Linked DNA regions of Mus musculus. The main gene of each other region encodes a partner of the protein of the gene in region 2 in a complex. Links are inferred from orthologs where the notes say so. Each region holds a gene or a part of one and is shown on either strand. Other genes may lie near its edges.

Region 1 (6,905 bases), on a different chromosome or scaffold from region 2:
CCTTTCCCCCTTGATCACTAATTGAGAAAATGCCTTACAGTTGGATCTCATGGAGGCATTTCCTCAACTGAAGCTCCTTTTTCTGTGATAACTCCAGCTGTGTCAAGTTAACACAAAACTAGCCAGTACAATTGACCCCTTGTCAACTTGATACACAAACACATCACTAGTAAGCCTCAACCCTTAGTTTCTTATTCATCCCCAAGATCTAAACAACTTTAAAAGTCCCACAGTCTTTACATATTAAAAGTCAATCCCTTTAAAATGTCCAATATCTTTTAAAGTCCAAAGTCTTTTTACAATTAAAAGTCTCTTAACTGTGGGATCCACTAAAATATTTCCTTCCTTAAAGAGGGAAAATATCAGGGCACAGTCACAATCAAAAGCAAAAATCAATCTCCAACCATCCAATGTCTGGGATCCAACTCACGATCTTCTGGGCTCCTCCAAGGGCTTGGGCCACTTCTTCAGCTATGCCCTTTGTAGCACACACGTCATCCTCTAGGCTCCAGATGCCTGTACTCCACTGCTGCTGCTCTTGGTGGTCATCTCATGGTACTGGCATCTCCAAAACACTGCATGACCCCTTCAGTCCTGGGCTGTCAATTGCAACTGAGGCTGCACCTTCACCAATGGCCTTCCATGGCCTCTCACAGTGCCGAGCCTCAGCTGCTCTGCGTGACCCCTTCATGCCTTCAAAACCAGTACCACCTGGGTGACCCTTACACATTACCAAGTCCCACTGCAGCAGGAGTACAACCTTGGTTATCTCTGGAACACAACTTCTTTGTGCTTTCAGAAAACACTTCCCAGAAGATGTCACCTCAACGATGCTGGTCTCTTCTTAATCACTGCTAATTTCTTAGCTCCAGCTAACCAGCATCAATAGTGCCAGTAATGCAAAGATTTTGCTTTAGTAGTTCTGGTATCTTGTTAATCACAGCTGATTCTTCAGCTCCAGCTAACCAGAACCACAGAATAATCAAACTCCAAAATAGCAATGGCTCTGAAGAGTCTTTAATTTTCCCTCTGAAATTTCACAAGCCAGGCCTCCATCTTCTGCACTGTTCTCAACATTATCTTCCAAGCTCCTACACAACATCTGACAGAGCTCTTAACACTGAGTGAATCTTCTAGCCCAAAGTTCCAAAGTCCTTCCACAGTCCTCCCCAAAACATGGTCAGGCTGTCACAGGAATACCCCACTCTGCTGGTACCAATTTGCCTTAGTCAGGGTTTCTATTCCTGCACAAACATCATGACCAAGAAGCAAATTGGGGAGGAAAGGGTTTATTTGCCTTACATTTCCACACTGCCGTTCATCACCAAGGAAGTCAGGACTGGAACTCAAGCAGGTCAGGAAGCAGGAGCTGATGCAGAAGCCATGGAGGGATGCTCTTTACTGGCTTGCTTCCCCTGGCTTGCTCAGCCTGCTCTCTTATAGAACCAAGACTACCAGCCCAGAGATGGTCCCACCCACAAGGGGCCTTTCCCCCTTGATCACTAATTGAGAAAATGCCTTACAGTTGGATCTCATGGAGGCATTTCCCCAACTGAAGCTCCTTTTTCTGTGATAACTCCAGCTGTGTCAGGTTGACACAAAACTAGCCATAAATATTTGGCTTACATGTCAAGAGTCCATTGTTTAGGGGAGTCAATGCAGGAACTTGCTGCAGAAACAGAAGCCATTACCATGGTGGGATGCTGCTTACTGGTTTGCTCCTCATGATTTACTCAGATTCTCAGATTGCTTTTTTCTCTCTCTCCATTTTGTTCTTAGACTTACTTAAGTGTATGAGGGTTTTTGTTTGTTTGTTTTTTTTTTTTTTTGAATGCTTGTTCGTGCACCAAAGACGTGCTTGGTGCCTACGGAGGTCAGAAGAGGGCATTGGATTCTCAGGAACTGGAGGTTATGGACGTTTGTGAGCTACCATATTGGTGCTGGGAATTAAACCAGTGTTCACTATAAGAACAAGCAACAGCTGAACTATCTCTTCAGCCCCATCATTCTGCTTTCTTATATCACCCAGGACCACTGGCTTGGTGGTGACACCGCCCCCAATGGGCTAGACCCTCTCCTACCAATTTTAACTCAAGAAAATGCCCCCAGAGACTTATTTACTGGTCAATTTATGGTGACATTTTCACAATTGGGGTTCCTCTCCCTGGATATTTAGTTTGTGTATAGTTAAAGCAAACAGAAAACAACACACACATACATGTGCATGTTGCAGAATGACTGCAGAGGATTAAAGAGGCAAGGAGTTTCAAAGAAATCTGAGAAGCCAGAGCTGGGAAATATAAATGTCTATAGGAAATGAGATAAAAGAGTCAGCTGGACGTCTGTGAAAAGGAGCTGCTGGTATTTGTTACCTGCAGGGTTGAGTCTAGCTGTGTAAGTGAAAGGGCAGAATGAAACTAGGTGAAGAAATGGCCAGATGGAGGAATGGCAGGTCCAGATAGGATATCGTACGTCAGTCAGACAGCAGTTGAGACGTAGTATTAACAATGGGGACAGTGTTCCTGGGACATTTGGTTATTTTCTGTCCGTTCCGGATGAGAATATTGCGGAGCAGCATGATCCTCCTGTAACACGTCCATGGCTCGGAGTGCGGCAAGTGTCTCCTCATCACCCAGAACCTCTCACCTGGGTACTCTGGTGGTGCCAGCATTATCGGTCCAGTCCTCTTGGCGTTTCAGCTAGGGAGACGTGTGCACACGCGCAGAAACGACAGGGCTGGGCGTGCAGGCAGCATGCTATTGGCTGGATGGGAAAGGATTATCTGCGGTGACCAATGGAGTGTGCGAGGCTGCCCGCCGCAGTGCCTACTGGGAACGTCTTGAGGATCCCGGGTTGCCAGTTACGGAGCAAGTGAGACGGCTTTTGATTGGGCGCCTGCACCACGGAAGCGCCAGACAGAAGCGAGGTGTGGAAGCTGGCAGTATGCTGTTGTTCTGCCCGGGCTGCGGGAACGGACTCATTGTGGAGGAGGGGCAGCGTTGCCATCGCTTCGCCTGCAACACTTGCCCCTACGTCCATAATATCACCCGTAAGGTAAGTTCCACAGACGGGTGCCTTCTCTGCTTTCTGGGAGGCACAGCAAGCGTCGGCGCGCTCAGACCTTCCTGCAGGCTTTTGTGCTCTCGCTGCGGTGGTACCCCAAGTCCAGCAGTCGCTGCTCCAGTGGCGTCGCTCCGGCCACGTCGAAGCCCCCCCACCCCCCTCTAGCTCTCCGTTGCCCACTTTGTGATACTCCGAAAATTGTGAGAATTTTAGTTCATACCTTTTAAACCTACACTCCCCTCGTGCTGTCCTTGGCGTACCAGTCCGCGCCTCGCCTCTGATTTGAAATCCTTGGGTTCTTCTTGTGGCTCTTTTGCTCCCAGCCCCTGTCGTTATTCTAGAGAATCTTCACCATGTACGCAGTACTGTTAGGTCCTTCCTTTTGCCCGAGTCATTCTTACACAGGCACATATCACACTTATTCATTCTCCGCCTTACCCCCTACCCCCGTGTATGTGTGCATGTATGCGTCTCTGTTTCCCTCTTCCTTTCTCTCTCCCTCTCCTCTTTTAAAATAATGGCTACCTTATTTAGATTCCTGCCCTTCTGGCTGTTTGTGCATGTCTATAATTTTAGCACTTGGAGAGGCTGCGGCAGGAGAATAGGTTCAAGGCTCACCTGGGCTGCATAGCACATAGACACGCACACACACGCACGCACAGGCACAGGAAACAAACCAAACCCCAGCACTTTCAGTTTATCCACATTCCTTTTATATTTTTCACAGAATGCATTGCCTTCTAATATTTTATATCCTTGTTGCTATTTTGTGTGTGTGGTGCTTGTGTTGGAGCCCAGAAAGCTGTATTTCTAGCCCTTGGTGTTTTGTGTACCCTTCAACTCTTGTTTTGTTCCTCCTTACCTCAGTGACTGCAGGTGTGCACCACTGGGCCTTGGTGACATCTCATTCTTAATGTTTGCTCATTAGAGCTGTATGGTAGGAGTTTAGAGTCTGGATTTGTGGTAAGATGAGTTGTGACATAATTTCGAAATTAGAAGGATGCCTGATAAACTTAGGAAAGCAGCCAAAATGACCTGGGGAGTGCTGGTATACCCAGTTAAATGTCTGTCACTCCTGTTGGATTATTAGGTGTCTGAGGGGTATGAGAGAAGAGTGAGGTTTTACTAGGCTGATTTTTCTTCCTGCTCTGTCTGGTGTTTCCTTCTGTTTCTAGAGACCTTTGACATTGAACCTCTGTGCTGTTTTGGGGGACATCCCAGTCACAAGACCCCTACATTTCAGTGACTCACACTGCTCTTTGAAGAAGATAAATTTTGTAGAGGGAATGCTGGAGGGAGATTGTAGTTTGGTGGCCCACTTGTAAAACTGTACAATTACTTCAAATCTGATGTCTTGTTTCTATTAGGTAACAAACCGAAAGTATCCAAAGCTAAAAGAAGTGGACGACGTGCTTGGTGGAGCAGCTGCATGGGAGAATGTGGACTCTACTGCAGGTGAGGATTTTCCCATAACAGAGCTAGGGACTCAACCCTGCTTATTATTACTCGTTATTATATTTAATAATAATAAATTTATTATTATAATGTAACCCTGTCTGTTATTAGGGCCAGTGAGATGGCTCAGCAGGTAAAAGCACTTGTTGCCAAACCTGTTAGATTCTTGGAGCCCAGAGAGTAGAAGAGAGCTGACTGATGGAAACTTTTTTTTTGTGACTCTGTACCATCCACCACACACACACACACACACACACACACACACGTACGTACGTGTAAGTGTAAAAGAATTTAAGAAGATGTAAATAACAAAGTAATGACAAATAGCTAGTGTTTGTCACTAACTCTAAACAAGGTTTTACATTTTTGTTGCTGTTTGATTTTGTTTTTTGAGACATGGTTTCTCTGTGTAGTCTGGGTGTCCTGGAACTTGCTCTGTAGACTGTGCTGGCCTCAAATTCAGAGATCTACCTGTCTGCCTCCCGTATGTTGGTATTAAAAGCATATGCCACCACCACCTGGCTGTATTAAATGTTTTTTAAAGTAGATTCTTTCAAGTATTCTTTAAAGGAAAGTTACCATACGGATACCTGAACTGTTGTTTCATTTAGACTCTCAAGTCAGATATGGAAAAGTATAATTAAAAATAAATCTGGTGCATATTCTCTTCTTGAAGCAAAATTGGAGTTCATTACAAAAAAGTTTCAACATTGATGTAAACATAGCTGTTGAGAGGGAAAGAGAGATCCATGCTCTAGCAGGTGTAGGCTTCTCGAGAGTTATGTTGTATGTATTTTCAAATACCAACACTGAAAAAATGATCAGCCCTGGTCTTTTATTTTCATTTTATTTTTTATTATATGAATTAAAAAAAAATTGTAACTAGGGGTGAAGCATGGTTGCTCAAGCTTATAATTCTGGTGCTCTCCGGGTATAGGCAGAAGGCTCAGTGCTTATCTGGGCTTCATGAGACCCTGCCTCAGTCAGTCTGTCAACCAAGAAATAGTTGGGTAGGATTTCAGTGGTTAAGTTGGATTTCCTTCCCAACTTCCATAGCAGCTCAGACCTTCTGTACTTGTAGTTTCAGGTGATCTCATGCCCTCTACTGGCATCCAAGGGTACTGCATGAACATGATTCACGGAATACCTGAAGGCAAAACATGCACATAAAATAATGTTAAAAAAATTAAAAGGGGGGGAGGAGGAAATTCGAGACAGAGTTTCTCTGTATGGCTTTGGTTGTCCTGGAACTCACTGTGTAGACCAGGCTAGCCTCGAACTCAGAAATCCGCCTGCCTCTGCCTCCTGAGTGCTGGGATTAAAGGCGTGCGCCACCATGCCCGGTGCAACTGGGGGTATTAAAAAGTAATGTTTACATCTTGATTTATGTCTGATAGACTTAAATGTGATAATGGAATGAAAGAAGATGACCTTAAATAGTAGCTGTTTTAGAAGGAGTAGCAGTGCGTGATTCCTCTATAGAGGAATATACAGATCTTCTATGTTAACAGTTATCATTAGCTAGGTGTGGTAGTGCAACTGAGAGATGGACACAGGAAAATCAGGAGTTCAATTTTATCTTAGCTACATAGTGACTTTGAGGCCTTCCTCAAGAACCTGTTTTATAAAAGCAACAAAAGCCCTGGAAGTTGAGAATTAGTAGAGGCTTAAAATTTTTGTTTGTTTGTTTTTAATCTGTTTATCTTTAAGGTAGAATTCCCTATGTATTCCAGGCTGGCTTTATAGCAAGCCTCTTATTTCAGTTTCCCACGTGCTAGATTATAGCTGTGTGCTACCTCAGTGGGTGTGTATTTCTGTTACATTCCCACAAACAGACTATAATAGACCCTTCCCATGCTTTTCCAGCCATTCTTCAACCAGATTTGAGAAGGGAAGTGAAACCCAGGGATAGAAGGGGAGGGGGTTTCAAAAAAAAAACCTTTAAACATCTACTCATTTTCAAATTTCAAGGCTTTTGTTGCTTTTATAAAACAAGGTCTCTCTAGTCTCCTTATTATTGATGTGCTGTGGGAAGGATGTTGCTATTGGCAAACTCACCATTAGCTGGAGTAAGGGAGACCATAAGGGAGTCTAGCTGAGCATGGAGATGAGATGTTTACCCACACTTAATGTTTTTGTAATGTGGATAACTTGCTTTTCTGTTTGTCAGAGCCATGTCCAAAATGCGAACATCCCCGTGCCTACTTCATGCAGCTTCAGACGCGTTCTGCAGACGAGCCAATGACCACCTTCTATAAGTGCTGCAATGCTCAGTGTGGACATCGCTGGAGGGATTAAGGGCAGGACTTGCCCAGCTGCAAGCATGAATTTTGTGTGTACTGAAGGTCTTTGCTATATGATAGTAAGCTGACTTTTCTGTGGTGAAG
Region 2 (6,966 bases):
CCGTAGATTGCAAAATGTCGATATACATTTTTTTAAAAGCCTGCAGACTTGAGTGATGCATATATTTTTATAATTTTTCCATTTTGCTGATTGGAACTCTACTAGGGGTTGACTGTGCTCATACACGAGTTACCTTAAAAACAAAATCCATTAGGAAATTCATTTTCATTTCAAAGCTCATTCCATCTGTCTACTCTAAAAGACGTAAAATATCACAATGGCTTCATTCCCATTGCTGAGTCACTCTACCATGCTGATTCTACAGAAAGCTGGTCTTTCAAGTAGGACCTCTGCTGAGTAAAGGGGCTGACACCTTTGCTCAGCACCTGTAGGAGCCCAACAGGCAGGGACAAGACCACTGTGCTACCTGCCAGTCTAGAATATGTCACTAACTAGAGATTAGAAATAAATCTAGGAAAAGTTTACCAAACTTGCTTGATCAGAGGAATTAACTGGGAGATAAAAAATATAAATATAAAACATATTGAGTCCTGGGGAACACTTAGTTCTCAAACCTAATAAGCCAACATCTTTGAAGTTGGGCCCTGGAAATGGTTTGGGAAATTCACTCTAAGAGTATCTGACTTAACACTGTTTAATGGAATATTGTCCCAGAAATAAGCTCTGCAGACTCCAACTTCCTATTTTTATCTTGCAGTCATTGGGCATAAACTGATAACAACAGTAAATGTATCCGGCAGAGAATCCAATGCTAGCTTTTGAGACACATTGGTTACAAGGCGCACTGCCTACAAGCCATCCTACAGTTTGATGTCGCAGACAGGGTGCTCCCGTATATACAACACTTGGTTTCTTTTCTTTTTCTTTTTTTTTTTTTAATTTGGATATTTTCTTTATTTACATTTCAAATGTTATCCCCTTTCCAGGTTTCCCTCCCTCCCGGAAACACCCAATCACATCAACAGTGGGGAGGTGGGAGTGGGTGGAGGAACACTTGGTTTCTAAATTCATTTTCTTCCCCTGTAGCCAGAGACTGAATGGTGAAAGGAAAGGTTCACAAGTGAGGCCTAGGCGCCAATCACTTAAATCCTTATTTGATGTATTTATCTAATACATTGATTTTTTTTTTTTCTCAACCTGTCAGACTTTTTCAAGGGAAGGTGTGTGGCTGGGAGAAGAGGGGTTGAACCCAGAGCTTCACACACACACTGGTAAACGTCCACTACTAAACTTTAGTCTCAGTCTTCTAATTTCTATTTATTTACATATTTACTTCTTGAGGACAGACTTGATAGTTTCCCAGTGTGGACTTGAGCCCTTTCTACAGCCTAGGCAGGCCTTGAATTTATATCCTTCTGCTTCAATGTCCTTAATAGATGGGACATGGCCCCAGCTCCCAAACTTTGTGAATGAAGAGTTTTTTATTTCTCGATTTCCTCATTACCCAAATTTGTTTAGAACGGCCTAATCCAACTCAGTCATTTACTCAACTAGCTTTGATCCTTTTGGTCAGGCACCGAGCAACTCTTAATTCTTCCTTCAAAGCATCCGCTCCTTTGAGATATGTTGGCATCTCTATATACAATAAGTGACCCATTCCAAGGCTTCATTATTTGGTCCTGGCTAAACGAAGAATCACAGTAGATTCAACCTCCTTGCTTTGTAGAAGAGGAAATGGTTATAAAGGTCATCTGATCTCATCTCAAACAATTCCTACCAAAGGTGAGCGTACACAGGCGGAGGAAGGCCTTTCAATGCCCTACCTATATTTTACTTCTGGGAACACATGTCTAAAGTCATTGACAACCTATTTTTTTGTTTGTTTGTTTTTCCGAGACAGGGTTTCTCTGTAGAGCTCTGGCTATCCTGGAACTCACTTTGTAGTCCAGGTTGGCCTTGAACTCAGAAATCCGCCTGCCTCTGCCTCCCACGTGCTGAGATTAAAGGCGTGCACCACTACTGCCCGGCAACAACCTATTTTTTTAATCCCAGATCAATGAGGGAAATTGGCAACTGCAAAAAGTTCTGAATTTCAAAATCTTAAAATGTGTGTGGGTATGTGCGGAGAAATGCAGGTGCCCAGGCAGGTCAGAAGAGGATGCCAGGCCATCAGGGCTTGTGAGCCACTCGCTGTGGTCGCTAGGAACTGAACTCGGGTCGTCTTTCCAGCCCCAAATCTGAAATCGAAAACACTAGATCGACAAAGCAGCACTGCCACCATCACCTCAGGATGCTGCCTGACTGCCAGCTCAGAGTCCTGCCTCAAAACTTCCGTTCAGAATCTGTTCCAAGAGATCTGAAAATGGGCGTTGTTCAAGTCTCTCCAAACCAACTGTACACATAATCTCCTGGAAGATGGTGCGCTCACCTCTGCAATTCTTCCTAGATCTAAAATGTTGTGAGTTATAATTGTGACTGAAATGTAACATCCTCTTGTACACACAACCTTGCTCATTTAAATGTTCAAGTAGCTGGAGGCCAGGGGAGACAGCGAAAGCCAAGTCACAGTATCTTTCTGAAGAATGACCTAAACTTGCTCTAATCACGAGCCTGACTCATTCCACTCTGGCTGTCTCCTTTGATCACCTAACAGAAGACTATTAGCAGTGTGTTCTCTATTATTCCCCTTTTTTCTGCGTTAGCTCAGGCCTTTAACATCGACCCTCTGAAACATCGTAGGCATTTTATGTCCAGATAATTGTTATGTCCCTAACAATTCATCTCATCAATTTAACAGAAGGCTAATCGTCTGATATGTCATTCTCTTCAATTAACAGAGCTTAGGACATTTAACTTCTGCTTCTCACCAAGTAACTATCCACTGAGGTCTTGATAAAGACCCAACTCTAAGCCTAACCTCTGGGCCAAACCATCCTCTCACTGTTGGAAATACAGAGGCAAACAAAATAACATCTCTGCTTTTAATGGAGTTTACGATCGAGTATGGGAAGTGGGCAAAATATACTTTAGAGAACCTGTCAGAACCTGATAGGTGGTGTGAAAATGAAGCAGGAACCAGGCCAGAAAAACTAGTTGAAGAAGTTCTGCCTCTCTCAGGACTGTCTGAGCTTAAATGTAATTACGATGAGAAGCAGAGTCATACTGAAAAGTAGAAAACAAAGTGTCATTGGGAACTGTAGGTCCAAAGGACTCTAGAGCCTGCCACAAGCCAGATAGTCATCTCTGAATTCTTTCTGAGCTTATGGCCAAGAAACAACACTGTGCCATCTTACCGAGTGGCCCCCTTCTGCAGCAAAAACAAAGTACAGAGGGCACTGTGTTTCTCTGCAGAAAATGCATTCGATAAGGCCAGTGCAATCATTCACTAGTCCATCTATAAGTAGAATCCAATTTTTGCATTTTTTTTGCATTATATAACAAGTATTTGTGTACAGGTGTTAGCTTCCTCAGATTCTCGAGAACTCACATCAGACTTTTTTTTGTTTTTAAACAGTTTTCTGCTTGTCACACACCATTTAGCTGAGGCACTCGTGCTAAGAATGGTCCCAACTGCATAACCGATGAGATTAGCAAAATACTCAAAAGGGCAGTGACCTGCTCCTACACCCACCAGAGAGTTTTGGAGTGTTGGAAGTACAGTTCTCCCTCTAGGAAACTTATTAGGAGATACCACAGTAAGAATCTTCCTAATTATCCTTTATAATGCTCTCCCGTGGGTCTCTTTATAATTTCTGAAGGTTAGTCAAATTCTCAAAGGGATTTCTTAATCCGAAATAGATGTATCAATAGCTAGTGGTTGGGTGCAAGCGCAGGGACTTGATACTGACAGTGGGGGTGATTTCTGGTGGCTTGCAAGGCCACACCCAGTCCCTATCCACTTTTCATGTCCCCTCAAAGTGCTCCGCCTTTCCTTAAGCTCTAACTTTCTCTGCTCTCTTCAAAGAGCAAAGAACCACCCAGAACTATGACGGCCATTTAGGTTTTTCTTTTTAAAGAAAAATTTTATCACCAACCCCTCTCCTCACTATCAAGGGTGCCAACAATTAAGAAAACAGAAGCGACGGTAAGTATGCCCTTATCAGCAAACTGCCGCCAAACTTTGAATGAAGAAAAAACACAGTCGTCAGATTTGCATAGTCTTCTCTTGTAAGAGGATAAACTCCCTTCTTTCTCACTGAGAACAAACCCACCGGAAAGCTGGGAGATCTGGCTACGAAAACTTTAAACGGTTTGGAAGACCGCAGCAGCAGCTTTGGGGAGGTAGGGATACTTCCCAAAGTCACTCCAGAGGGGCTTTCATGAATGTTGGCTCCGGATACCCGGCCACCACGTTCTCCACGTGCCCCATCAACTCCCTTCTACCCTCTTCACCTCCTGCCCAGAACGGGATAGCTTCCAGTTACCTGCTAGCCAAGTCTCGAGGCTTGAGCACACGGTGCAGCAGAGGAAGCAAGAAAGCCGGCAGCCCCTCCAGCAAGGAGCCGCAGATTCTACCTCCGGAGTAGCGCGCCCCACACCGCACGCGGCTACGGCGCAGCAGAGCGCACTGGAAGCCCCGCCCACTCCCGCGAGGCCACACCCCCGGAAGAGAGCTTTTTAGCCCTTGGCAGGCGCCGTAGTCAGCCTCCAACAGGCTCGGCCTCACTCTGGGCTCCGGCGGCGAGTGCACAGCCCCCCGCTGCCCGTGTGGGGGCGGTCCTGTGTGTCGCTTCCCACGCATCTCTCCCGGCCCCTGCAGTAGAACCCCGAGCAGGGCAGCATTGCCCGGTGTCTCCTCCCCGCTTCAGCAGCCTGCGTTACTGCCTTGGTGCTGCGGCTGCAGAAGCTGCGGCAACTGGGGTGCAGCCTGCGCTCTGCGGCTCGGACGGGAGGGCGCGGAACAGGTGATCTGGGCAGTGTCGCAGCGTCCTATCCACGCTCCCTTCCGCATCCCCGCCCCTCGATCGCACCTCCTCCGGAGCTGAGAGTAGCTCCTCCGGCTCTGCAGCAACAGCAGCAGCAGCAGCAGCAGCGAGTCCTGGACTGCCTGTGGGAGGCACACCCACCTAGCCCGGCCGCACCCCTGCGCAGCAGCATGTCGGCGCTCGAGTGGTATGCCCACAAGTCTCTGGGCGATGGCATCTTCTGGATTCAAGAACGGTTCTACGAGTCAGGCAACCGGGCCAACATTTGGCTGGTGCGCGGCTCGGAGCAGGACGTGGTGATAGACACTGGCCTGGGGCTGCGCAGCCTTCCGGAGTACCTCTACTCCTCTGGCCTCTTGCAGGATTGCGGGTCTAAAGAGGATGCAGGACGCCGGCCACTGCTGGCCGTGGCCACCCACGTGCACTTCGATCACTCCGGCGGTCTCTATCAGTTCGACCAGGTGGCTGTGCACCGCGCCGAGGCCGAGGCCCTGGCTCGCGGGGACAACTTTGAGACCGTGACCTGGCTTTCTGACAGCGAGGTGGTGCGGGCGCCCAGCCCTGGCTGGAGGGCCAGGCAGTTCCGAGTGCAGGCAGTGCAACCCACCCTCATTCTGCAGGATGGTAATGGGCCCCGCGGGCGTGCGCTGTCACTGAGGGAGGGGCTTGGAGAGCGTGTACAGCATGTTACAGACCTCCTTGGCACTGTTGGGGTACAGTGCGGGAATACTCTGTTTCACCCTTTGCTGCGTGGAAGTCAGCTTAAGCAGAGACTAGGCCCTGGCAGGCTTCTCTGTCCGGAGATGCGCGCTGCTGCTGTGTGGCTGTCTCTTTGAAAGCTCACACCATCCCCAGTCAGTCAGCTACAGTAGTAACACTGCAGAGACTTGTGACTGGAGATTTTCCATTCTTTTCCCAAGTACCGGTTGAACATTTTCAGCTTTTGTAACGAGTAGGCTTTTAAGCAATGGCACCTTGGGAAGAGTGTTAGGCTCTGTGCTTTGAAAACTGCTGACTTCATCTGCCTCCTCACTTCACTGCATAGTGCCTATCCGGTCCACCTGTAGGCTTGGAAAGCTTTGGTTCCGTTTCATCCATCCTGACCTTTCGGATGGATTTGTTTGCTTATTGCCTCACAAGAAAAAAAAAAAAAAAGGCTTGACAGTGAACATAAAATATAGAAATATGACAAATATCTGGTCTGGATGAGAGCAAGGCCTAGGAAAGATCAATAAGGGAGTTGTTTCCGGTGGAGAAAGTGTGTGTGTTAATGAGGACTTCATTCTCTTGGTCCTAAGCAATTGATAGATTGGAGCAAAATAGACAGGGTCCCAGTCCCTTTCCCCTCATGCTGGAACTGCACTAACTGAACTGATTAGCAACAGCAGCAATATTTGATTTATCAATTTTATATTTTTGTCTTAGGATTTATTTATTTATTTACATCCCCAAAACTACTCCTGCTCCTGCTCCCTCCCTCACAGAGTCTCTCCTCCCATCCCCTCTTCTCTTCTCCTCCGAGAGGGTGGAGGCCCCTCTGGGTACCCCTCCCCCCAACACAGCACATAATCAAGTCTCTGCCAGATTAGGTGCATCCTCTCTCACTGAGGCCAGATAGGGCAGCCATGGAGCCTGAGGTGCTTGCCTGCTACCTATGTGCCTGGAACCTCTTTTCAGTCTGTGTGTTCTTTGGTTGGTGCTTCAGTCTCTGAGTGCCCCTAGGTTAGTTGACTCTCTTGGTCTTGCGCTGGAGCTCCCTTCCCCTTCTGGGCCTTCATTCTTCCCCCAACTCTTCCATAAGAGTCCCAGACCACCGTCCAATGTTTGGCTGTGGGTATCTGCATCTGTTTCAGTCCACTGCTGGATAGAGACTCTCAGAGGACAGGTATGCTAGGCTCCTGTCTGCAAGCATAACAGAGTATCATTCATTAATAACGTCAGGGATTAGTGCTTGTTCATGGAATTTTTCTATCCCTGCATTTCCTTTAGACAGGATAAATTTGGGGTCAAACTTTTGTGGGTGGGTTGATGTCCTTATCCCGCCACTGAGAGTTTTGTCTGGCTACAAGAGGTGGCCTCTGCTAGTTTCATGTCCCCACTGTTAGGAATCTTGGCTAAGCTCACCCTCATTGACTTTCTG

The links.
Region 1: Polr3g (region 2) and Polr3k share a complex: the UniProt entries of both Homo sapiens proteins name them as parts of the RNA polymerase III complex. The link is inferred for Mus musculus from reciprocal best matches to the Homo sapiens genes POLR3G and POLR3K.

Annotation. Positions count from the first base shown.
Region 1 is NC_000068.7:181,861,516-181,868,420, forward strand, and holds the start of Polr3k (DNA-directed RNA polymerase III subunit RPC10), read left to right. Parts: upstream 1-2,844; 5' UTR 2,845-2,943; coding exon 2,944-3,054; intron 3,055-4,430; coding exon 4,431-4,518; intron 4,519-6,688; coding exon 6,689-6,816; 3' UTR 6,817-6,905. UniProt on the Homo sapiens protein: Core component of RNA polymerase III (Pol III) which synthesizes small non-coding RNAs using the four ribonucleoside triphosphates as substrates. Can mediate Pol I proofreading of the nascent RNA transcript.
Region 2 is NC_000079.6:81,706,533-81,713,498, forward strand, and holds the start of Polr3g (DNA-directed RNA polymerase III subunit RPC7), read right to left. Parts: upstream 4,482-6,966; 5' UTR 4,326-4,481; intron 1-4,325. Other genes in the region: Mblac2 (metallo-beta-lactamase domain-containing protein 2), read left to right, coding at 4,997-5,450. UniProt on the Homo sapiens protein: DNA-dependent RNA polymerase catalyzes the transcription of DNA into RNA using the four ribonucleoside triphosphates as substrates.